3 linked regions of the Stegostoma tigrinum genome follow. The protein of the gene in region 2 interacts with the protein of the main gene of each other region in a biochemical or structural test. Links are inferred from orthologs where the notes say so. Each region holds a gene or a part of one and is shown on either strand. Other genes may lie near its edges.

Region 1 (8,240 bases), on a different chromosome or scaffold from region 2:
TCTTTACAATTTACCTGCAGGTTTAATATGTGATCAAACAAAAACAGAAGGTGCTGGAATTTGTTCCTGATTTACAGCATCTGCAGTTCTTTTGGTTTTTATTTAATATCTGATGACTTTAGTTTTGTTAAATACTTACAACTTATTGAAAGTGGTTCCTCACTTTCCACTCCCATAATACATACCTGTTTTTTATCTGTAACCTAAAACTAACAAAGCAGATCCACAGCTCCAAAGGCTCCCTCAACAAATATTCATCTCTGGTATTTCTGTCCATATTTTATGATGTCACAGACTGAGCAAAGACCTGCAAGATAAGCCTGAGCAGCAGATTCAACTGGTGTGGTCTAGTACTGTCATTGATAAAACATCTCAGAACAAATTGAGTGACATTACAGACTCATTATTCAGATCAGGAAGAGATTATTCCACCACTCGGGCCTGTCTCACCAACTGGCCAGATAGTGGGCAATCTGAATCTCCTCTTCGCCATGTTTTATAGTTTCCTTCCAAGTTTTCCATCACAAGTGCTTCAGAGGAGGAATTTATTTAGATTGCCACCTAGAATGAGCAGATTTTCTTTTGAGGATAGGTTGCACAGACCGGGTTGGTTTCCCCTAGAGTTCAGAAGAGTGAGGAGTGACCTGATTGAAGTGTGTAACATCCTGGGTGGCATTGACAAGGTGAATGCAGACAAGATGTTTCCTCTTGTAGGTCAAATCAGAACTAGGGTGCATGAGATGAAAAATTTTGTTCTCTCTCAAACGGTTGACTTTGGAAGGCAATGCCTTAAAAATATTCAATGATGCAGAGTTACACTGATTCCCCTCCCTGACAAGAATGTCTGGTATGGGGAAATGTGAAACTCACAGCACAAACAGATCCATCATGATCTTGTTGAATGCTGAAACAGGTTTAAGGGCCGAATGGCCTATTCTTGCTCCCATTTTACAAGCTGGTATTTACCTACTTTGGGTGAATCATTGGCCTCATCCAATTTCCCATTTACATGCTGCTGCTCAGTGACATCATGTAAAAGTACAGTGTTCATTCTCACTATGTTCTCTGACAACCCCAGCTTGACCTCATCACCAGCTCTCAATTTTTCCACTCTCTCTAAACTGTCAGACTACTGAGTTAACATCCAGAACTGGATGAGCATAAATTCCCTTCAATTAAATATTGGGAAGTCATTGGCTGTAGTTCCTAGTCCAAACAATGTTTCCCAATCACCAACACCTCTCTCACCCTGACAACATTGTGGGATTAAGTCGGTCACAGCCGTGGTTTTTCATAAAATCCTGATTCTGACCTCTTACTTTGCACCATTACTAAGACCACTTACTACCAGCCCAGTAACATCCCTCAACTTCACCCTGTCTCAGCTCATCATTCATGAATCCCTCATGTTTAAACAATCACCTCTAGACTTTCTTAGCTGCTCCAATACACTCCTCATTGGTCCCCACATTCTATCCTCTGTGACCTTGGGGCCGTCCAAAACTCTGCTGTTCATGTGATAACTCTCAGTGGCTCCTGTTCCTTATCACCCCTTGGCTCCCTGACAAACTGGCCCCAGATTAAGCAACCTCTTTATTTTAAAATATCATTCTTGTTTTCAAATACCTAACAGCCTCATCCCCTCCCAATCTCTGTAACCTCCTCCAACCCCAGACCCCCTGCATTTCTCTAATTCTAGCCTCTTGAACATTCCCAGTTTTAGACGCTCTTGCGTTGGTGGCCATGCCTTCAAATGTCTGGACCATATACTCTGGAATGCCCTCCTTAAACTCTCAGCACTGTCTCATTTTCCACCTTCCACCAGATATTTCTCAAAACCCACCTCCTTGACCAAGTTTTCTGTAACCTAACCTAATACCTCCCAATGTGGTTAGCTGTCAAATTCTGCTTTGCAATACTCCTGAGGAGAACTTGGGATATTTTATTACAAAAGGTACTATTTATTCTTTGTTTCATAATCTTAATCTCCTATCTAATAAATATCTATTGATCACTGTTTTGAAATTTGTGACAGACTCTGATCTTGATCAGCTCTTTGTGGGGTACTTTTTCCCTTTGAGTGACAAAGTACTGCCTGACATCGATCTTACCCAGTGACCACCAACTCTGAGAGACAGGGCTTATTCTCTCTCACACACCAGCCTGATGCTACACAACCTAAAAACTCTCTATATATTGCAATAAACAATTGTTTTACTTTGAAGTACATGTGCTTATTTCTCAACCATTTTAATTAGCCTCAGTATCATTCATAGCATATCCTTGAACAAGCATCAACTAATCCACAAAAAATGCTAATTTCTAAAAATTACACCATTAGAACCAATTTATTTGGAAATATTACCTATTCCACAATTTGGCATTAACAAGAATCTCCACAGTTAACCCAACACTCACTTTCACTTCTTCATCTTCACATGGGTTGTGATGAATGAAACAGTGAAATATCACCATGCTTTAAGACACTAAAGAACAGCATCATAACAAGAATATACCTTTCAGAATCAGCCCCCTCACACTGCCCTGATCAAATAATTAACTCAGCTCAACATTAAGAGACCTACAGATTTCACCTTTCAACTATAACTGACCTGCCCTTCGGCTCTCTGAACCTTTTGTCGTTAGTTACAAAAGCTGGAATACAATGAACCATTTTGGACACCTTGCCTGTATAAAGATATAGAGTATTGGAGACAATCCAGGGAAGGTTCATTTGATTGGTCCCGGATATGGGGTGTGGGAAGACTGTCTGATGGGGAAGAGGTTGAGTAGGTTAGGCCTGTACTCACTAGCATTTAGTAGAATGTGAGGCAATCTTACAATCACACCGTCAGAGAGACCTATAGAACTAAACAAGGCATTTTGGTCCATGGAGTGGTTACTGGCCAAATAACCCTACTTTAATCCCATTTTCTGCACAAGGCCCAGAACCTCCTCTATCTTGGCGTCACAAGCACACATCAAAATATTTGTCAAATGTTATGAGGGTTTCTGCCTTTACCACACTTTCAGGCAATGCCAGACAAGATTTTTAATCACTAAGAGAACAAAGGGTTATGGGGAAAAGGCAGGAAGTGGAACTGAGGATTAGCAGGTCAGCCTGGTCTCACTGAAGGACAGATTAGACTCGATGGACAGAGTGGCCGACTTCTGGTCCTGCTTTTTATGGTTTTACGAATGAAGATCAACATAACTCATCATCAGCACATTAAACAGCCTGAGAGTCCGCTTGAAAGACAAGGAGAGACAGTCACACACTGAGAAAAGGGGATTTAAAAGGCGACAGCGCAGTGAGAAGGGGGGGTGAGACATTAAGGGAGGGAATTGAAGTAGGAGGAGGAATTGAGAGTGAGGGATTGACAGAGGATAAGGAAAGTGAGGGAGAGCCTCAGGCGGAAACTCGGGCCTTCCGCTGGTGTCGGCGGCCGCTCGGCACTGAAGCAGATGTCGAGGCGGACTGGGACTGAGGGAGAGGGGTAGGCTAACGGAGCAGTCACTCTGACCGAGTGAGGAGCGAACCATTCACTGGGTTTAACTCACCGTCAAAGCGAATCCTGCACCAGCTACAAAGTAGCAACTTCCAGCAACAAGCTATCAGACACAAGTTACAATGTATTCCCAACTCACAATCCACCGGCTCCGCGCCGCCACTCACCACTCCATACACCCGGCAAACTCTCTCCGCTTCCCGGGGCCCAGTGCTCCCCGGCTGGAAATTCCCCGCCCGCCTAGGGGCAACGGGGGGGAACTGCAGCCCCCTCACACCCCCTGGGGGCAACGGGGGGAACTGCAGCCCCCTCACACCCCCTGGGGGCAACGGGGGAAACTGCAGTCCTCTCACAATGCAACTGGGGGCAACGGGGGCGGCGAACTACAGCCCCCTCACACCCCCTGGGGGCAATGGGGGTCGAACTACAGCCCCCTCATACCCCCTGGGGGCAAGGGAGGAACTGCAGCCCCCTCACACCCCCTGGGGGCAACGGGGGGAAATGCAGTACCCTCACAGTACAACTGGGGGGGCGGCGAACTACAGCCCCCTCATACCCGCTGGGGCCAACGGGGGGGCGAACTACAGCCCTCTCACACCCCCTGGGGGCAACGGGGGGAACTGCAGCCCCCTCACACCCTCTGGGAGCAACGGGGGGAAATACAGCCCCTTCAGACCTCCTGCGGGCAACCGGGGGAAATGCAGCCCCCTCACAGCCCTCATGGGGGCAGCAGGGGATACTGCAGCTCCATCACTTCCACTGGAGGCAGCGAATGGAGCTACAGCCCCTTCAGATAACAAAGTGTGAAGCTGGATGAACACAGCAGGCCAAGCAGAATCTCAGGAGCATACAAGCCGACATTTCGGGCCTAGACCCCAGAGATGATGAAGGGTCTAGGCCCGAAACGTCAGCTTTTGTGCTCCTGAGATGCTGCGTGGCCTGCTGTGTTCATCCAGCTCCACACTTTTGTTATCTTGGATTCTCCAGCATCTGCAGTTCCCATTATCATTGATCCCCTTCACTCCCACTGGCGGCAATCGGGAAGTACTGCAGCCCCCTCACTCCCCCTAATCGCAACAGCGAGGAACTGCAGCCCCCTCACTACCCGGGGGCAGAAGGGAGGGGACCTGCAGACCCCACAAGCCCCCTGGGGGAAACAAGGAGGTCTTTGATCTTTTCTTACCCTGGGACAACCTGCGCGTGGGATCTCTATCTAGGGGGCGTTTGCAGCCCTGTCACTCCCCCTGGGGAGACGGCGGTACACCCCCGCCACACCCCAAACCCCTCACTCCGCCGGAAAACATGGGCGAGTGCAAATCCTTCACGCTTCCTCACAGTTACAGGGACTTCTTTCACTCTTTAATACCTCTAGTACAACCTGGGAATCTGCCCTTTCACCTTCACTTCCGTTTTGGGAACTTTAGTCCCCTGTATCTTCACCTTTGGAGCTTCAACTGTGACTCCAACACCCCCACTCCGATCCAGGAACAAGCTGGGAAACTGAACCCACTAGGCAGCACCCATCCAATAGGGAGAAGCTGGAGGCAGGGGACTAATGGCAGTGGGAGGTGTCTGCAATTCTCCTCGTTGCCCCCGGGGAAGAAAGGATGCTGCAGTTTCCCAGGTTGTTGCCGGGGGAGTACAGGGGTTGCAGATTCCCAAGGGGCCGAATGGATTGCTGGCTGGTTTCTAAACAACAAGCAAAGAGTTGGAGTAAAGGATAGTTTTCCCAGTGGCGGTTAGTGGCAAGTGCTGTACGAGGGCTAGTATTGGGCTCATTCTTTCCACAATTTACACAAACAATTTGGACAAACGAAAGTTTGATTCCAGTTTGGGAATTCCAATTTGCTGCATATATTCCTATTAATAAGAGATTTCTATTTGTGGGGAGCTCAAGACTAGGAACAATCTGTATAAGATAATGCGGCGCTCCCTCAGCAGTGACCCTCCGACTGTGCAGCGCTCCCTCAGCACTGACCTTCCGACAGTCCCCACTCCCTCAGCACTGACCCTCCAACAGTGCGGCACTTCCTCAGCACTGACCCTGTGACAGTGCAGGGCTCCCTCAGCAGTGACCCTCCGACAGTGCAGTGCTCCCTCAGCGCTGACCCTCCGACAGTGCGACACTCCCTCAGCACTGACCCTCCGACAGTGCAGTGCTCCCTCAGCACTGACCCTCCAACAGTGCGGCACTTCCTCAGCCCTGACCCTCCGACAGTGCGGGGCTCCCTCAGCAGTGACCCTCCGACAGTGCAGTGCTCCCTCAGCGCTGACCCTCCGACAGTGCGACGCTCCCTCAGCACTGACCCTCCGACAGTGCAGTGCTCCCTCAGCACTGACCCTCCAACAGTGCGGCACTTCCTCAGCACTGACCCTCTGACAGTGCGGGGCTCCCTCAGCAGTGACCCTCCGACAGTGCAGTGCTCCCTCAGCGCTGACCCTCCGACAGTGCGACGCTCCCTCAGCACTGACCCTCGACAGTGCGGCACTCCTTCAGCACTGACCCTCACACAGTGCAGCGCTCCCTCAGCACTGACCCTCCAACAGTGCGGCACTTCCTCAGCACTGACCCTCTGACAGTGCGGGGCTCCCTCAGAACTGAACCTCAGACAGTGCAGTGCTCCCTCAGCACTGACCCTCCAACAGTGCGGTGCTCCCTCAGCACTGACCCTCGACAGTGCGGCACTCCTTCAGCACTGACCCTCACACAGTGCAGCGCTCCCTCAGCACTGACCCTCCGACAGTGCCCGCTCCCTCAGCACTGACCCTCTGACAATGCAGTGCTCCCTCAGCACTGACCCTCCGATAGTGCCACACTGCCTCAGCATTGACCCTCTGACAGTGCGGTGCTCCCTCAGCACTGACCCTCCGACAGTGCGGCACCCCCTCAGCACTGACCCTCCGACAGTGCAGTGCTCCCTCAGCACTGACCCTCCAACAGTGCCCACTCCCTCAGCACTGACCCTCCGACAGTGCCACACTGCCTCAGCATTGACTCTCTGACAGTGCGGTACTCCCTCAGTACTGACCCTCCGACGGTGCGGCGCTCCCTCAGGACTGACCCTCAGATAGTGCGGCCCTCCCTCAGCTCTGACCCCCTGAGACAGTGGCTGAGGAAATAGTGGAGGCTTTGATTGTGATCTTTCAAAAGTCACTGGAGTCTGGGAAAGTCCCAGATGATTGGAAAATTGCTGTTGTAACCACCTTGTTTAAGAAGGGATCAAGACAAAAGATGGAAATTGATAGGCCAATTAGCCTAACCTCGGTAGTTGGTAATATTCTAGAATCCATTGTTAAGGATGAGATTTCTAAATTCTTGGAAGTGCAGGGTCGGGTTAGAACAAGTCAGCATGGATTTAGTAAGGGGAGGTCGTGCCTGACAAACCTGTTAGAATTCTTTGAAGAGGTAACAAGTAGGTGAGACCAGAGAAACCCAGTGGATGTTATCTATCCAGACTTCCAAAAGGCCTTTGATAAGGTGCCTCATGGGAGGCTGCTGAGTAAGGTGAGGGCCCATGGTGTTCGAGGTGAGCTACTGGCTTGAATTGAGTATTCGCTGTCTGACAGAAGGCAGAGAATTGGGATAAAAGACTCTTTTTCGGAATGGCAACCGGTGACAAGTGGTGACCCACAGGGTTCAGTGTTGGGGCCGCAGCTGTTCACTTTATATATTAATGATCTGGATGAAGGGACTGGGGACATTCTGGTGAAGTTTGCTGATGATACAAAGATAGGTGGACAAGCAGGTAGTACTGAGGAGGTGGGGAGGCTGCAGAAAGATTTAGACCATTTAGGAGAGTGGTCCAGGAAATGTCTGATGAAATTCAACATGAGCAAATGAGAGGTTTTACACTTTGGAAAAAAGAATACAGACATGGACTATTTTCTAAACGGTGAGAAAATTCATAAAGCAGAAGTAGAGAGGGATCTGGAAGTGTTGGTCCAGGATTCTCTAAAAGTTAACTTGCAGGTAGAGTCTGTGATTAAGAAAGCGAATGTAATGTTATTGTTTATCTCAAGAGGGTTGGAACATAAAAGCAGTGATGTGTTTCTGAGACTTTATAAAGCTCTAGTTAGGCCCCTTTTAGAATACTGTGTTCAATTTTGGGCCCCACACCTCAGGAAGGGCATACTGGCGCTGGAGCGTGTCCAGCGGAGATTCACACGGATGATCCCTGGAATGGTAGGTTTAACGTACGATGAATGGCTAAGGATCCTGGGATTGTATTCATCAGAGTTTAGAAGGTTGAGGGGAGATCTAATAGAAATTTACAAGATAATGTATGGCTTAGAAAGGGTGGATGCTGTGCAGTTGTTTTCACTAGGCGGGGAGACTAGGACCCGTGGGCACAGCCTTAGAATTAGAGGCGGTAAATTTAAAACAGAAATGAGGAGATATTTCTTCAGCCAGAGAGTGGTGGGCCTGTGGAATTCATGGCCACGGAGTACAGTGGAGGCCGGGACATTAAATGTCTTCAAGGCAGAGATTGAAAAATTCTTGATCTCACAAGGAATCAAGGGCTACAGGGAGAGAACAGGGAAGTGTAATTGAAATGCCCATCAGCCATAATTAAATGGCGGAGTGGACTGAATGGCCTTACTTCCACTCCTATGTCTTATGTTCTCATGGTCTTATGGACCCTGTGACGGTGCGGCAGTCCCTCAGTGCTGACCCTCAGATAGTGCAGCACTCCCTCAGAACTGTTCCTCTGACAGTGCGGCACTCCCTCA
Region 2 (8,199 bases):
ATTCCACCCTCTGGCGTTGTCTGTGTGCAATTTGCATGTTCTCCCTACATCAGTGTGGGTTTCCACCAGGTGCTCCGATTTCCTCCCACAGTCCAAAGCTGTGCTGGTTTATTGGTGTTCAGGGCTGTGTAGATTAAGTATGTTAGCCATGGGAGATGCAGGTTCTTAGGGTAGGAACATGGGTCTGAGTGGGACGCTTCAGAGAAGCAGTGTGCATGTGTTAGGCCAAATGCCCTGTTTCCACATTGTAGTGATTTTATGAAATTGAAAATGATTGCACAGCCATTTAGCTCATCAAGTTCATGACAGTTCCTGACAAACAATCCAGTTATTCCTATTCCCTGTTCCTTAACAAGCATCCTCAATCTTTGCTCCAAGTAATTCTGCAGTTCACTTGTGCAAAAAATATTGATTCTGTTTAAAGCAGCCCAAGACTATTCATTCCAAACCCAAATCAGTTATTGCAAAATAACTTTTCACTGTGTTCTTTTGTTAGTCACCTTGAACTTGTGCCACGTGGCTACTGAATCTTCAACCTCTTTCTTTAAAATTTACATAGAACATAGAACATAGAACATTACAGCACAGAACAGGCCCTTTAGCCCACAATGTTGTGCCGACCATTGATCCTCATGTATGCACCCTCAAATTTCTGTGACCATATACATGTCCAGCAGTCTCTTAAATGACCCCAATGACCTTGCTTCCACAACTGCTGCTGGCAACGCATTCCATGCTCTCACAACTCTCTGCGTAAAGAACCTGCCTCTGACATCCCCTCTATACTTTCCACCAACCAGCTTAAAACTATGACCCCTCGTGCTAGCCATTTCTGCCCTGGGAAATAGTCTCTGGCTATCAACTCTATCTATGCCTCTCATTATCTTGTATACCTCAATTAGGTCCCCTCTCCTCCTCCTTTTCTCCAATGAAAAGAGACCGAGCTCAGTCAACCTCTCTTCATAAGATAAGCCCTCCAGTCCAGGCAGCATCCTGGTAAACCTCCTCTGAACCCTCTCCAAAGCATCCACATCTTTCCTATAATAGGGTGCCCAGAACTGGACGCAGTATTCCAAGTGCGGTCTAACCAAAGTTTTATAGAGCTGCAACAAGATCTCACGACTCTTAAACTCAATCCCCCTGTTAATGAAAGCCAAAACACCATATGCTTTCTTAACAACCCTGTCCACTTGGGTGGCCATTTTAAGGGATCTATGTATCTGCACACCAAGATCCCTCTGTTCCTCCACGCTGCCAAGAATCCTATCCTTAATCCTGTACTCAGCTTTCAAATTCGACCTTCCAAAATGCATCACCTCGCATTTATCCAGGTTGAACTCCATCTGCCACCTCTCAGCCCATCTCTGCATCCTGTCAATGTCCCGCTACAGCCTACAACAGCCCTCTACACTGTCAACGACACCTCCGACCTTTGTGTCGTCTGCAAACTTGCTGACCCATCCTTCAATCCCCTCATCCAAGTCATTAATAAAAATTACAAACAGTAGAGGCCCAAGGACAGAGCCCTGTGGAACCCCACTCACCACTGACTTCCAGGCAGAATATTTTCCTTCTACTACCACTCGCTGTCTTCTGTTGGCCAGCCAATTCTGTATCCAAGCAGCTAAGTTCCCCTGTATCCCATTCCTCCTGACCTTCTGAATGAGCCTACCATGGGGAACCTTATCAAATGCCTTACTGAAGTCCATATACACCACATCCACAGCTCGACCCTCATCAACTTTTCTAGTCACATCCTCAAAAAACTCGATAAGGTTTGTAAGGCATGACCTACCCCTCACAAAGCCGTGTTGACTGTATTTGATCAAGCCATGCTCTTCCAGATGGTCATAAATCTTATCCCTCAGAATCCTTTCTAACACCTTGCAGACGACAGACGTGAGACTTACCGGTTTATAATTGCCGGGGATTTCCCTATTTCCTTTCTTGAAGAGAGGAATTACATTTGCCTCTCTCCAGTCCTCAGGTACGACTCCAGTGGAGAGCGAGGATGCAAAGATCTTCGCAAGTGGCGAAGCAATTGCATTTCTTGCTTCCCAAAGCAGCCGAGGACAAATCTGGTCCGGGCCTGGCGACTTGTCAATCTTAATGTTTGACAAAATTTTCAGCACATCAGCTTCCTCTATCTCTATCCATTCCAGCATGCACACCTGCTCTTCAAAGGTTTCATTCACTACAAAGTTCGTTTCTTTCGTAAAGACAGAAGCAAAAAACTCATTTATGCAATGTTTAACAGTTTCAAATAACTCTATCTAATGCTCTGTTCATTTTCTGTGCTGATAACAATGACAACTGATGACACATTCCACCAATTTATCAACAATCAAGAGGAGATTGATGGGCAATTGGGGGTAGGGTGGGCATCAGGTGTTGTAATTGGCCGAGTTGGTTTGTCTTGCTCTTAGCGCACAAGACATAACTGGACAATTTTCCACACTGTCAGTGTAGCAGCTGCACTGGAACAGCTAATGACAAAACACAAGTGCTTAGTACTCTTGTTAGAATATTGACAGTGCCCACAGCTCTGGCTATAACAATGCCTTTTGCGATTTCCTGATATTGTACAGAGAGACAGGAATGCATTGGTTGACAGAGATACCATATTTACTGATGTGGATGGCTTGGCAGACTGAGAGACAAGGGCACACTAACAGAATGAGATTCAAAAACACAATAGTAGACTGAGACACTGACACACTGGCAGAGTGAGACACTGACAGATAGGGTCACACTGGTAAATTCGGGCTCAGAAAATAATTGGCAGATGGAAACTCGGGGAGACACTGGCAGACCGAGAAGTGTGGCCACGATGCAATCTGAGATTATGGGAATCACTGGCTGACTCAGATAGGACACACTGGTGGACTGAGAGAGCAACTTCCTGTAACCCGTCCCTCTAGATATGCTGAATATGAAGTCAAGACAAGCCAATGAGTTCTTTGACCGGTTTCCCTTGGGTAATTACGGTGAGAGATGATTTTCTCCAATGACTTGCAGCAAACCCACGGTAAAGTGGAGATTTAGACAGACGCTAGGAAAGGTAAACGGGTCGCGGGGCGGGGGGAAAGTCGCTTACCCAAGGCACGCTGCGGGCTGGGGTCTTTCTGTGTCTCTTCTTCACTCTTTCTAGAAACTTCAGAACAGAGAATTTGGATTTGATCCTTTTACAAGGTGGTGTTTCTGCCGCCCTCCTCGAATTTACCCCAGAATGTTTGTAATTCTCGCCAAACTCAACTTCCGGGTTCTTGCCCGGGGGGGAAATGTCATCACATGGTCCAGGTTAGCGCACCCTAGCAAACTAAACTAATCCGGGTTAAATTCAGTAGCTAGCTTTAAGTAACCCGTTTCATTTAAAACAACCCTAGCTAACTAAATTAGCCTATATTAACTAATCCGGGATAATTATTTAACCAATCTGGTTAGTTTGTACCAAATTTGGCAGACTAAAATCATCCCGATGAGCTAAATAAAATCAGGGGAAAAAAACTGTGGGTGCTGGAATCAGAAACAAAAATAAAAATTGCTGGAAAAGCTCAGCAGGTCTGGTAGCATTGTGGAAAATTCTGGTTTTAATCCTGATTGATTAACCTTGGCTAATAACTTTATTCTGGATTAATACAACAAATCCAGGCTAACTGAACAAAAACTGCATTGAACTCTGCATTCAAGCTCAATTCAAGCTGTTTTAACCAAGACCAAACAAACTCATCTGCAATAACTAAATTACTGCTCTGGTTTTGGTAACCTGGGCTACAAGAATTAATCCAGGTTAACTGAATTAGCCCAATCCAATTGTAACGAACTACATTAACTCAGTAGAGATAAACGCACCCGGGGTTATCTGAACTGACACTGGCCACTGCAATCAACTATTCCTGGGTAACAAACACTTGGCTGGAGGTAAATTTTTAATGTTTGTGAACTTTCTGAAACAGCGCGAATGTAACATGTTCAGTGTGAGCACTGCCATGTATCTCCTACTAAATTCAAATTTACAGGCCAGCATTACTATTATAGGAGGAAGAAGTGCTCAGGTTAGATATCTGACTGCTGCAAGGCCTATTCAGTCACCAATGAAACAGCGTGGAGCTGGAGGATTATAGCAGGTGTGGCAGCATCAGAGGAGTAGGAAAGCTGAAGAAGGGTCCTGGCCCAAAACATCAACTTTCCTGCTCCTCCGATGCTGCTTAGCCCGCTTTGTTCCTCCACCTCCACACTGTGTTATCTATGACTCCAGCATCAGTAGTTCTTACTATCTCTGTTCAGTCACCAGTTTGATTGAGGAGTTAGTTAACCCCAACGTGCAATCTCCCAAGTTTAAACTGGGACAGGCACAGCCTGGTTAGCTCCCCCTACACTGCATACCACCTGATTGAAACATTACTGTTTCACGGTTGTAGTTACCACAATTATTTTTCTTTATCCCTTTCTGGGATGTGGCCACTGCTGGCAAGGCCATTACTTATAGTGTATCCCTAATTGATTTGGAACAGTGTGGTTTGTTGGGCCATTTCAGGGAGCACTTAAGTACTGACCACATTGCTATGAGTTTGGAATCTTACGTAAGCCAGATGAGGTAAGAATGGCAAATCTTCTTCCCGAAAGGGCATCAATGAATCAAACAGGATTTTGCAATAATCACTTGATTTCCAGCATCCAAAGTTTTTTGTTTTCTTTTAAATCATTGATAGTAGTCGTGGACCCCATTCCATTGAGTTTGTCTTTCGGCTGAGAGCATTCTCCTTTTGCCAGTCTGTTATCTCCATGTCATTCTGCACATGCATCTGTTGGGGAGGAGGAGATATCAATTATTCACCCAAAAGCCTTTAAATTGTGCAGATTACATCTGTATAGAATATATGCACACGGATAATATGCTTTGGAGGCCGAGAATACTGAGATATTAGCATCCTTAACAACCCACCTAAATCACACTAGAGATGCTACACAAACCATTCCTTAGTGCAATGTAAGAATAACTACCATTGCAATGATAAATGTGTGGATGTTCCTCAGCTGCCTGCATGATCTGGACAGATCCAAACCACCGATCTGTAGAGGTCATTCTGCAACCAGAAACAGAAGAGGATGTTCTTTATTCTCTTAATCAGATGCTGTGTTCTGATCTGAAACAAAGAAACCAAATTAGCAATCAATGTATTTGACAATCAAGTAGTTTATGACTGGGGCTGATGAGGGGCACTGGGATCATACGGTGGTAAGTATCCTGTGCAGTGACTGCAGCGACCTCAGTTTGGTTGAAAACCACATCAAGTAGCTTATCCTATGTGCAGCTCAGGAGTCAATCCTGGACATAGCAGTTGAAGTCTAGCAGCAGATGCATTCTGAACAATTGGTGAGAAATTATGTCTCTTCCAACTCAAGTCAGGGACTCCATCAACACAATGCCACAAGGTGGTGTAAATTAACAGCTGAGATGATATTCTAAGAAGCTGAAAAACTTGGCATCAACAATGGCATGGAGGGGTTTGGTTAAAGAGGTGGAATATGGCTTTAAAGGAAGAAGCGAGAGAGGTGCAAAGGGAAGAAATTCCAAACCATAAGGCCTTGAAAACTGGCTTTTGAAAGAGAAAAGAGAGATGTATCAGTAGTAAATTTCTGAATTTAAGTTGAGAACAGCTGAAGTCAAGTCTGTCCATGGTGAAACAAAAGGAGGAGGAGGAGATGAACGTTTTTGGCAACTAAATTCCATCAGACTCAAGGGATAACAAGGTGTAGAACTGGATGAACACAGCAGGCCAAGTAGCATCTTAGGAGCAGGAAAGCTGATGTCTCAGGCCTAGACCCTTCATCAGAAGCTGAAAAAGGACCCTCCATCAGACTCGAAGTTGCTTCCTGATTTATTGAAAAATATTCAAGATATCATGCTGGATTATAATGGTGATAGCAATAAATCAAGTAATCAGTGTTAGTAACTTCTACCTACAGTAAAATTAGTTAACTTTCTCTTTGAACCAGTGGATAACCAGTATCTCTGAGTCACAAGCTTTGAGTGTCAGTTCTATACCAGGTGATTGAATGCTTGGAGATCCCCTCATATCTTCGTGGTTTTCATTGTTCCGCACCCAACCCTTGGAAAGCCAGACCACTACAAGGTGTGGCTGACAGCTGTGCTGTAGGTACACAATGTAGTAACGTTTTAACACACACATCCCCAATCTCATTCCTGACCATATTAAGCAGAGAAATGTTGGACTTGCATTGTCTGCAATTTGAAATTGTGATTAACATGTCAATGTCTGATCAATGAGTTGCTAAGACTGCTCATAATACAACCATTTCCCCTTCTTCTATCCCATCTCTGGTAACCTATTAACTAGCGCAGTGATTGGTAATAGTGCTGCAGGAATATTGAGAGAGAGCAGAATGAGGTGACAGGAAGATAGAGGATACACAGGGAGGCTGCAGTGGAGATAGAATGCAAGAGATGTGGGCATGGGGTTTATCCTCCAGAACAAAGGCCTCAGTGCCAGAGAAGAATAAAAAGGGAAAGCTATTCCTCCAAGCTATAGAGAGAGCCCACTGACTGTCAAGATCTCAGGACTGCAGCGTTATCAGTTCAGTTGGTAGCCATCTAGCTGCTGAGTTAGAAGGTTGTCTATTCAAGTTCCAGCAGCTACAGCAAAAGTACTTAGCTGATTTTCCATTGCAGTACTGAGGGAACACTGCACTGTCGAAGTACAGTCTGGGGGAAATCACTATAATGTCAGAGGGTCAGCTTTGAGGGCTTGCTTCACTATTGGAGGAGCAGAATTAAGACAGTGTTACACACTTGGGGCATCAGTACCTGAATAACTCTGCACTGTCAAGGGCAGTATTAAGGGTAATCAGCCAGCTGGAGTGACAATATTGAAGGAGTGCTGCACTATTACAGGGGCAGCGCTGAGGGACCACTCAACTCTGATAAATGCAGAAACAGAAATATGGGGCCTGGTGCTGCTCATGGCTTAGATCTCCAACCTTGGCCCCATACCTAGCATGAGCCAAGTGACCCTGCCCACAAGTTAAGCACAACTATCCCATCCACACCCCCCAACGCAAGCTCAACAGACCCCAAAAGTTTCCGACTCCAGTTATTGAGCCCTGATGTGCCTTTGTCCTCAGCCCTGACCAGTACCTTGGGAATGGTGCCCTATCAGAGTAAAGTATTGAGAGACCGATGTTGCAGGAACAGTGTAAGAGAGTGTTGCAATCTTCCAGGAGCGGGATTGAGGGAATGTACCATGAGGACTGAACTTTGGGAGGGGCTTCATTAAGGGATTGCTATACTGTTGAAGTAAAGGTCTGAGGGAGCATTGCGGAAGTATTGCACTGTTGGAGGGTAGTACTGAGACACCATTTCTTTGTTGCAGAGACAGTACTGAGGGAGTGCTACACTGTTGGGAGGTTAGTTCTGAGAAAGTGCTGCACCACTGGATGGTCAGTTTAGAGGAAACATTTCATTATTGCTGATCAGCACTGATGGAGCCTTGCACTGTTGCAAGGACTGGACCGAGGGAAAAATTGCACTGTTGGATGCACTGAATTTTGGATGAAACGTTATCTCGAAGTCCCATTTGTTCTAACATATGGGTGAGAATCCAAGGCATTGTTTGAAGAAGAGCAGGATGTTCTCAACAACCAGAACTTTAATTATCCTTCATCCAACATCCCTAACAAAGACATCTGACTGTTTAACTTATCGCTGTTTGTGAGGGCTTGCTTTGTATTTCCTACATTACAACAGTATTGAGATTGTAAAACTACTTAATTGGCTGGAAAGAGCTTTTGAGATGTCCTGAAGTGGGAAAAGGCATTGCGGAAATGTGAAATACGAGACAACAAATGAATTATGAATCCCTACCACCACTGTCTGCCAAATCTTAGCAAAAGAAGGAGTCGGTCAGGATTTCAAACTAATTAATGATTTCATACCATAAGTGCCAACAGGTGATATCTGGCTATCCTCCAGTCCTTGACCACACTATTTTGGACCATATGGCAAGCTGCAAACCACACAAACCACAGCGTTTAGTACTCTTTATAGTGGCTGCCATTGACCTCAGTTTGGTTGAAAGCCACATCAAATAGCTTATGCAGAGTGTGGTTCGGGGGTCACTCCTGGAGATGGTAGTTGAGGTCCAGCAGCTGATACATTCTGAACTGTTGATGACAGAT
Region 3 (8,703 bases), on a different chromosome or scaffold from region 2:
GCCATCCCTACCTGGTCTGGCCTACATGTGACTCCAGGCCCACAGCAATGTGGTTGACTCTTAACCACCCTCTGGGAAATTAGGGATGGGCAATAAATGCTGCCTAACCAGCAACACCCTGATCCCATCAATGAATGAAGGATTAAAGTAATAAAGGAGTTATCTTTCAGTTGAACATAGAACTTTAAAATGTTCACAAACTGATTTTCCTTAAATACACAAAGGTTCACATTTCAAAAGTACTTCACCAAGTACAAGTGGTACAGGCAAGGAGATGAGGCAACTACAGTCAGAAAGGAGACCTCAGAAATCAAGCAAAAATAATGAGAAAAATTACCATCTTCAACAATACTATTCATCCTGATTGTTATTGCTGCCTTTACAACTTAATGGTTTTTCAGCATGAAATAGTGGATTTCCCTTTATATTGCCCACAGAAGCCGGGTGTGGGTTGAGAATCCCACCACAGTACATCAGTCATACTCTGGTTATCGGGAGTTGCATTTGGGGTTTGTCAAATGGTACAAAATAGAAATTCTGATCAAGGCATCAACAAATAGTATGACAGAAAGTTGGTGACCAAATGAGTAGAGTGTGCCAAACTTAAGGAAATGTCACATGTTAATAGTTCCCTCATTGCAATCAACAAAGCTAAGGTTTATGTTGATACAGCTTGTTAATTATTGCCTCTCAAAAGAGTGCAAAGCCTTGCACATTCCTATCCACAAAATCTATGCACAGAAAATCTTGATTGACAATTCAGTGCAGGGCTGAGGGGTTCAACTCCAGAGATTACATCTTTATGATAAAATATTATACCAAGTCCCTAACTGCTTCCCCAACAGTGAGCACGTACAAGATCCAGGTAACTACTTTGAAGAAGCACAGGCGAGTTTATTTCAGTGACAAAAACAGAATTTGCTGAAAAAGCTCAGCAGGTCTGGCAGCATCTGCAAAGAAAAAGTCAGAGTTAACATTTCAGGTCCAATGATCCTATCTCAGAACAGTTCTGAGGAAGTCACTGGACCTGGAACATTAATTCTGATTTTTTTTCTTCACAGATGCTGCCAGACCTGCTGAGCTTTTCCAGCAAATTCTATCTACATTCCTGATTTGCAGCATCTTCAGTTCTTTTGGTTTTTATTGAGTTCATTTCAATGTCCTAATATGTTGCCTTCCACAAATGTCACTATAGCATATAATGAAGTCATCATCTCTGTTGTTTGTGGGAGCTTGCAGTGTGCGAATTAGTGCAATCTTTCCTACAATATGACAGATAATACATGTCACAACGCACTTAATTGATTATAAAACACTTTATGATTTCCCATGGCCATGAAAGGTGCTATACATATAAGAAACATAAGTATATATGTAATCTTAAATTTCAAAGTTCAGCGGGGAGGCTAATTATGTCTAAGGTGGTATTTGCACATCACTTGGAGATCACCAATCAGTGCTTTTTGCAGAAACGTCCTGCCATTTTGTCAATATAACACTTTAAATATAATCTACGAGCCGAGCATTTTGATGGGATGCTTGAGGACATGAGAAGTTGCTACATAAATACAAGTCTGTTCTTTATTTTGTTACCTTATCACCTTGCAAAACTTGACCAAAAACAGCTGCCTTGATAATCAAAAGGCAAATTCCTCATCGAGCTAAACAAGGCAATATTTGGAAAAAAAGCTCAGGCAAAGATCTATGTTTTAAAGAGATGCTTTTAAAAAAAAAGGAAACAGAAGTAGAGTAATGGAGAGGTTTAGAGAGGAAATTCCAGAGATTAGGGTCATGGCTGCTAATGGAAGAGTGATTTCAGAGCAGGGTTTTCTGTATATCAGATTATGTGAATCTCTGCAGTATTCTGTTTTAAAACTGATTTAATGTGAATGTGGCACTCCTCAAGACAAGGGATGTTTAAATTCCAGTAAATTTGTGCAGTCAAAATGAGTTTTAACTATTCCCAGAAAATACAAATGCAAGCTCCTCTACTCTGCCCAGAAACATGTCTGAGTCCCAAAACCATTTCCAACTGCATGAGAGTGACATTTCTGAGAGAGTCAATTTGCAGCCTCAACAAATGAGACTTTCATCAAAGGGAAGTCTGGTGCTGTGGACCTAGGAGAATGTTAAACTGAGACTGCCACATTTCACATAGGATCACTTTCACCAACAGCGATTAATTCAAACCCAGGTCACAGATGAAAGAAAAGACAGTCACCACATCACATAATAATTTTTAAAATGCTTTTTATTCAGTCACAGCAATGTGGGCATTGCTGGCTGGCCAGCATTTATTGCCCATATCTAGTTACCATTGAGAACATGGTGTTGGAGCTGCCTCCTTGAACTGCTGCAATCTGTTTAATAATAATTCTGTCTTTTAAAAAAAAAATCTTCCTTTGAATACTAAATTGTACATAAAGATATTGTACATCAGAAACTAAAAATTCTATTTGGGTTAGGTGTTAGAGATAGGACTGCCTCCAGGAATATATTGAGAGGGGAATTAAGCAACTTCAACTTCTTTCATCACCTCAGATTTCAAAGAACTGCGTGGAAACTTTCAAAGGGTAGTCACTGTATAATAGAGGTCAATGCAGCAGGTGTTTTACACACAGCAAGATCCCACAAAATAAACAATGGCCAGATGATCTTTTCCCTTGGTGGCAACATTGGCAGAGGAAGTAAAGTTGACTAGGTCACTACAGAGGACACTTCATGTTCTTCCTCCAAATAGCTCCATAAAATCCTTGAGTTAGCATCTCATCCAAAAAATGATACACCTTTGACACAGCAATGCCCTCTCAGTACTGCAATGGGAATGTCAGACTTGATTCTTGCGCTCAAGTCTTTGGAGTGAGGCTTAAACGCACCATCTTCTGATTAAGAGACACGTCTTTGAAATAGTGCCAGAATTTTTTTTTTGTATTCACCAGTCAGGTTTAATGACCTCATCTGAAAGTTGACAATGGATTGTTGCTGGTACTGGGCATACCAGCACATGGGCTGAAGGTGTATTTCTGCATCTGGTACTTGGGAATGATGGAACCAAGTAAACCCATACCCCCATGCCCACCCACAGTTGACACTTTATTACCCCCTCATGCAAGCGATACTCACGAGTCCAAGTCTTCGGTTCGGTAGTGGCGCAATTCCTTCAACTCATTCACTGCTTCTTGGGAACTTCCCAGCTCCATTCCCTGGGTGATCTGACCGGTGCCACTCAGTTTCACATCCTCGATGCCCTGGGTGATCTGGCTAACGCCACTCTCTGCCCACCGCTGGGTGGATAAGCAAATGTCTGGCTCAGTGCCCATGGACATGCCATCCTTGCCCTCCCCACCATCAACACTCTGGTCAACGCCACCCAACTCACTGAACTGGCTGACCTGCAGCTCACTGAGGGAGCCAATGCCACTGTCGTAGTAGTCATCGCCCTCTACCTCAGCGGGTAGCCCCAGGCTGTCCAACTTGGCCTGGCCACCCCACGGCGCGGCCACTTTACCAGTGCCCAGCTTGATCGTCTGTTTGGATGAGTTGCCATTTGACAGCTGCGGGACAACCTCCATGTTTTTTTCTCTGGACTCCCGACGTGATAATGAAAATCGCTCTTGAACACGATTCTAAAGGACGCCAGTCGACTCATCAGCGAAATCTATGAGGTAAAACCGCCATCCCTCTCGCCGCGGAGCAGCAGCTTTAACGGGAAAGTGAAAGAAAGACACGGAGATGAAACGGACGCCTCACCAAAAATGGCCGACGCCTTGTTTACCCTTTTGTCTGGTGGGAATTTCCCCCGCTAGGCCAGGGACCAATCGAATTGCGCTTTCCTGGCAGGTCCCTGTGAGGGAGACGACGTTGCCCATGCGCAGACGCTGCCCCCGCCGCAATGGCCTGTGGTAGTTGTAGTCCTGGCGATAGCAAGTCTTTAAAGACTGCAGTGCTGGCAGTCAGAGGCAACGGAGTGGGTGGCGGGGGGAGCCCAGCAAGTCAGGTAGTATTAGAGGGGTGGGAAAGTCAACGTTTCAGATCTGGACTCTTCATCAGGACTGTTGTTCGTTATCAAGGACAACAACAACTTGAGCAAGTTTCAGGCTGAGGATCTGGAAAGAAAGTGTTGGAGAAACTCAGCGGATCTGGCAGTGTCTGTGGAGAGAGGGACAGTGTTTTGCTTCTGTTATTCGCTGATGGCAGCGGTCATTGCCCATCCCTAATTGCCCCTGGAATGGACTGGCTTTATAAAGCCGTTGTAGAGAAGGTTAAGAGACAGCCCCCATTGCTGTGGGTATGGAATCATGAAAACAGGCCAGATCGGTTAAGGACAAGAGATTTCCTTCCCTAAAAGACAGATGGAATTTTATCCAGCAACAGACAGAAATTGCTGGAGAAACTCTGCAGGTCTGGTAGCATAGAACATAGAACATTACAGCACAGTACAGGCCCTTCGGCCCTCAATGTTGTGCCAACCTGTCATACCGATCTCAAGCCCATCTAACCTACACTATTCCATGTACGTCCATATGCTTATCCAATGACGACTTAAATGTACCTAAAGTTGGCAAATCTACTACTGTTGCAGCCAAACCGTTCCATTCCCTTACTACTCTCTGAGTAAAGAAACTACCTCTGACATCTGTCCTATATCTTTCACCCCTCAATTTAAAGCTATGCCCCCTCGTGCTCACCGTCACCATCCTAGAAAAAAGGCTCTCCCTATCTAACCCTCTGATTATTTTATATGTTTCAATTAAGTCACCTCTCAACCTTCTTCTCTCTAATGAAAACAGCCTCAAGTTACTCAGCCTTTCCTCGTAAGACCTTCCCTCCATACCAAGCAACATCCTAGTAAATCTCCTCTGCACCCTTTCCAAAGCTTCCACATCCTTCTTATAATGCGGCGACCAGAACTGTACGCAATACTCCAAGTGCAGCTGCACCAGAGTTTTGTACAGCTGCAGCATAACCTCTTGGTTCTGGAACTCGATCCCTCTATTAATAAAAGCTAAAACACTGTATGCCTTCTTAACAGCCCTGTCAACCTGGGTGGCAACTTTCAAGGATCTGTGTACATGGACACTGAGATCTCTCTGCTCATCTACACTGCTAAGAATCTTACCATTAGCCCTGTACTTTGCCTTCCGGTTACTCCTACCAAAGTGCATCACCTCACACTTGTCTGCATTAAACTCCATTTGCCACCTCTCAGCCCAGCTCTGCAGCTTATCTATGTCTCTCTGCAACCTACAGCATCCTTCGTCACTATCCACAACTCCACCGACCTTAGTGTTGTCTGCAAATTTACTAACCCATCCTTCTATGCCCTCATCCAGGTCATTTATAAAAATGACAAACAGCAGTGGACCCAACACTGACCCTTGCGGTACACCACTAGTAACTGGTCTCCAGGATGAACATTTCCCATCAACTACCACCCTCTGTCTTCTTTCAGCAAGCCAATTTCTGATCCAAACTGTTATATCTCCCACAATTCCATTCCTCCACATCTGTGGAGAGAAAGCGGACTTAATGTTTACAGTCCAGTGAGTCTCCTTCAGCAGTTTATTTGTGATACCACAGGCTGAGACTTTACTGGACGTGAAGGATGACCGTATAGAGGTTTATAATATCATGAGCTAAAGTGGATGGCAGGTGTCTTTTTTCTTAAGGATGGGGATTTCAAGACTAGGGTCTTTTAAGGTGAGAGGAAAAAGATCTTAAAAAGACATGAGAGCCAATCTTTTTAAACCAGTGAGTATTTTGTGTGTGGAATTAACCTCCAGAGGAAGTGTTGGATGTGGGTACAGTTACAATGTTTAAAAGGAATAAGTACATGAATAAGAAATGTTTGGAGGGATCTTGTTGGATGTATAGTTGGTTTGTTGGCATTATGGTGGCATGGACTAATTGGACCGAAGGTCTTTTTTTTAACCTTTATTGATTTGCGGGATGAGGGAGTTGCTGACTAGGCAGCATTTATTGTCCATTCCTAATTGCCTAGAGGGCTGTTAAGAGTCAACCACATTGCTGTGGGTCTGGATCACATGCAGGCCAAACCAGGTAAGGATAGCAGAGATAATAACCAGATGCTGGAGAAACATTGGCAGTTCCTATTATCTCGATACAATTTTAACCACACCTTGTTATCTCAGATTCTCCAGCATCTGCAGTTCCTGTTACCTCTGATACAATTTTAACCCCACTGTGAAGCCTCTTCAAAGGATGCCTACCCTGAAGAAGTTATCCTCCTCCCTCCGGACAAACCTCAGGGGATCTCTCTCCCACTGCAACTTCTTCTCTATCAATCTTCTATCCACTTCCCCCTCTCTCCCTATTTATTTCAGAACCTCCTTCCCCTCCACCATTTCTGATGAAGGGTCTAGGCCCAAAACATCAGCCTTCCTGATCCTATGATGCTTCTTAGCCTGCTGTGTTCACACAGCTCTGCACCTCGTTATCTCAGGTAAGGGTGGCAGTTTCCTTCCCTAAGGAACATTAGTGAACCAGATGGGTTTTCCACCAAAGAGAATGGATTCATGGTCATCATTAGACTTTTAATTCCAACTATTCATTGAATCTAAATTCCACCATCTGCCGTAGCGGATCCAATCCCAGGTTGTGCTTCTGCGATGCTGCTTGGCCTGCTGTGTTCATCCAGCTTCACACTTTGTTATCCCCAGAAAGTTATCTGGGCCTCTGGATTAACAGTCCGGCAATAATACCATTAGGCCATTGCCTCCATTTTCCATGTTGTATGACTATTTTCAGCATCCATAGTTCTTTGTTTTATTTTTGGGTTTTTGCAGCAATCAACAATGATAGTCACTCAGCTGGCTTTTAAAGTTTTCGTTGAAATTTCACCATCAGCCAATTTAGGATTAAGTCTGCGTCCCCCAGAACATTAACCTGGGTTACTGTGCTTGGCCAGTACCACTACTGTGCTTCACTACTGAGTGCTACTCTAGTTGAGTAATGTGTCCATGCTCACTGTCGCTGACTCCCACATTTACATGTACAAATTCAAGAGTAGAGTCTGGGATTATTTCAAATTTTCAAACTCGAAGGTTGGAGAAATGAGAATTGTATTGAACTTTGTGAGATCCTGAAGGAACTTGATTGGGTGGATGCTGAAAGGATATTTGTCCTAATGGGAGTGACTAAAATTAACAGATACAGTTTTAAAGTAAGTATCTTGCACTTAAGATGGAGTTTAACAGGATTATTTTCTGAGTTTCATTAGTCTGTGGAATTCACTTCTCGCAGAGAGGTTGGATACAGGTTCATTGAATTTAAGACAAAGGTAGATAGGTTTTTGACTAACAAGGCAGTTAGAAGTTATTGGAGGGTGGGAGGAGATAGAACTGCAGAGTTGAGCCCACAATCAGATCAGCCAATGCTGAACGCTGGAGCAGGCGTGAGTGGGCCAAATGACCTACTCCTGATTCCTGTGTTCCTGTTGTTAAGAACAGATGAGGAAACAGCTGTCCATTTTGTCAGCCCATCTCATTCAGCCACTAGAAATATCTTTCATTTTTCATTTAGCACACAGCCATGACACTCCGATTAAAATGTAATTCACTAGAAAATGGGAGGAAGAATTATCAAGATTATCTTGAGTGAAATAAAGAGCCATTCTATTATCTACAAACCCAGAGGAAAAAAAAATGCAATATTAAACACAAACTCAAACAAAGATAATAGATTTAAGAGTGATGGAGAGGGTATCTACTGTCTATAGGAAGATATTCAGATGCAGTTTAAATTTCTTAGGGACCTCTGGTTGTAAGAGTTAAACATGAGTGTATGACTGTTTAACTGTTGTCTTTCTTCCTCAGTCATAATGCCATTTGTAGAATCCTGGAATTGTTAGTGAATGGTTGTTTTTCCAAAATTCCCAAGAGATGTTAAGGATTGGGGAGAGAGGTGGGAGCAGGAGGCAAAAGAGAGAACAAACCTTCCATGTTCTGCAATTCGGAATCCAATTTCCTTCTCCTTTGCTGCTCAAAAGCCCCTGAAATAGAGTCTATCTGTGTATTTGTGAGTCTGCTTTCATTGTTTATTTAAGTTGGATAGTTGCAGGGAACACTTTTATGTTCAAATGGTGAAAAGTAATATTCAAGTGTGAATTAAACAGTAGATCCAAACTTCTTGACTCTAACTCGGTTGTCTGATTTCAATTATTTTAGATTAAGCAGAATTTCAATTTTGCCAATTTTATGTATTCTGAATGGGTTCCCTGGACTTGCCACAATCTGTAGTCAGGTGACAACAACAGCCATTTTAAGTCAGTATTTCTGTTTTAAAAATCTTTTTCGTTATAAGGGTCTCAGCTATTACGAACGTGGTGGAAGTTGAGCATTGATAGTTCATGTTTACCATTATTGTGACACTACAAGTTTTCCCTCTGCTGAGTCTGAAATTGAGAAGTAATCGTAAGATCACAGTTATATTTTAGGCTTGAGACATATCATAATATCAATGGGACAAACTTCAGAAAATCATGTGGCATTTTTCATGGTTCACCTTTCCCCTATTTCATATGTGGTCAAATACTGACATGCATGTTACAACTGTGGGATTTTGTAATCTGTTTACAAGGTCATCACTATTCTGTCAAACACTGTTGTTAATTTCTGCAGATGTAGAAGTACAGTCCTAGGGTTTTTGTGGCACAGTGGCAATGTCCTTACTCCTGATCCAGAA

Evidence for each region.
Region 1: of the proteins of ikbkb (region 2) and nuclear factor NF-kappa-B p105 subunit-like, one has a biochemical effect on the other in vitro, tested with the Homo sapiens proteins (4 studies listed by BioGRID and IntAct). The link is inferred for Stegostoma tigrinum from reciprocal best matches to the Homo sapiens genes IKBKB and NFKB1.
Region 3: of the proteins of ikbkb (region 2) and NF-kappa-B inhibitor beta-like, one has a biochemical effect on the other in vitro, tested with the Homo sapiens proteins (2 studies listed by BioGRID). The link is inferred for Stegostoma tigrinum from reciprocal best matches to the Homo sapiens genes IKBKB and NFKBIB.

The regions. Positions count from the first base shown.
Region 1 is NC_081354.1:1,699,718-1,707,957, forward strand, and holds the start of nuclear factor NF-kappa-B p105 subunit-like, read right to left. Parts: upstream 3,794-8,240; 5' UTR 3,677-3,793; exon of another isoform or gene 3,562-3,676; intron 1-3,561.
Region 2 is NC_081393.1:16,072,041-16,080,239, reverse strand, and holds the start of ikbkb (inhibitor of nuclear factor kappa-B kinase subunit beta), read right to left. Parts: upstream 3,278-8,199; 5' UTR 3,098-3,277; intron 2,988-3,097; exon of another isoform or gene 2,873-2,987; intron 1-2,872.
Region 3 is NC_081392.1:14,791,644-14,800,346, reverse strand, and holds the start of NF-kappa-B inhibitor beta-like, read right to left. Parts: upstream 3,794-8,703; 5' UTR 3,573-3,793; coding exon 3,124-3,572; intron 1-3,123. UniProt on the Homo sapiens protein: Inhibits NF-kappa-B by complexing with and trapping it in the cytoplasm.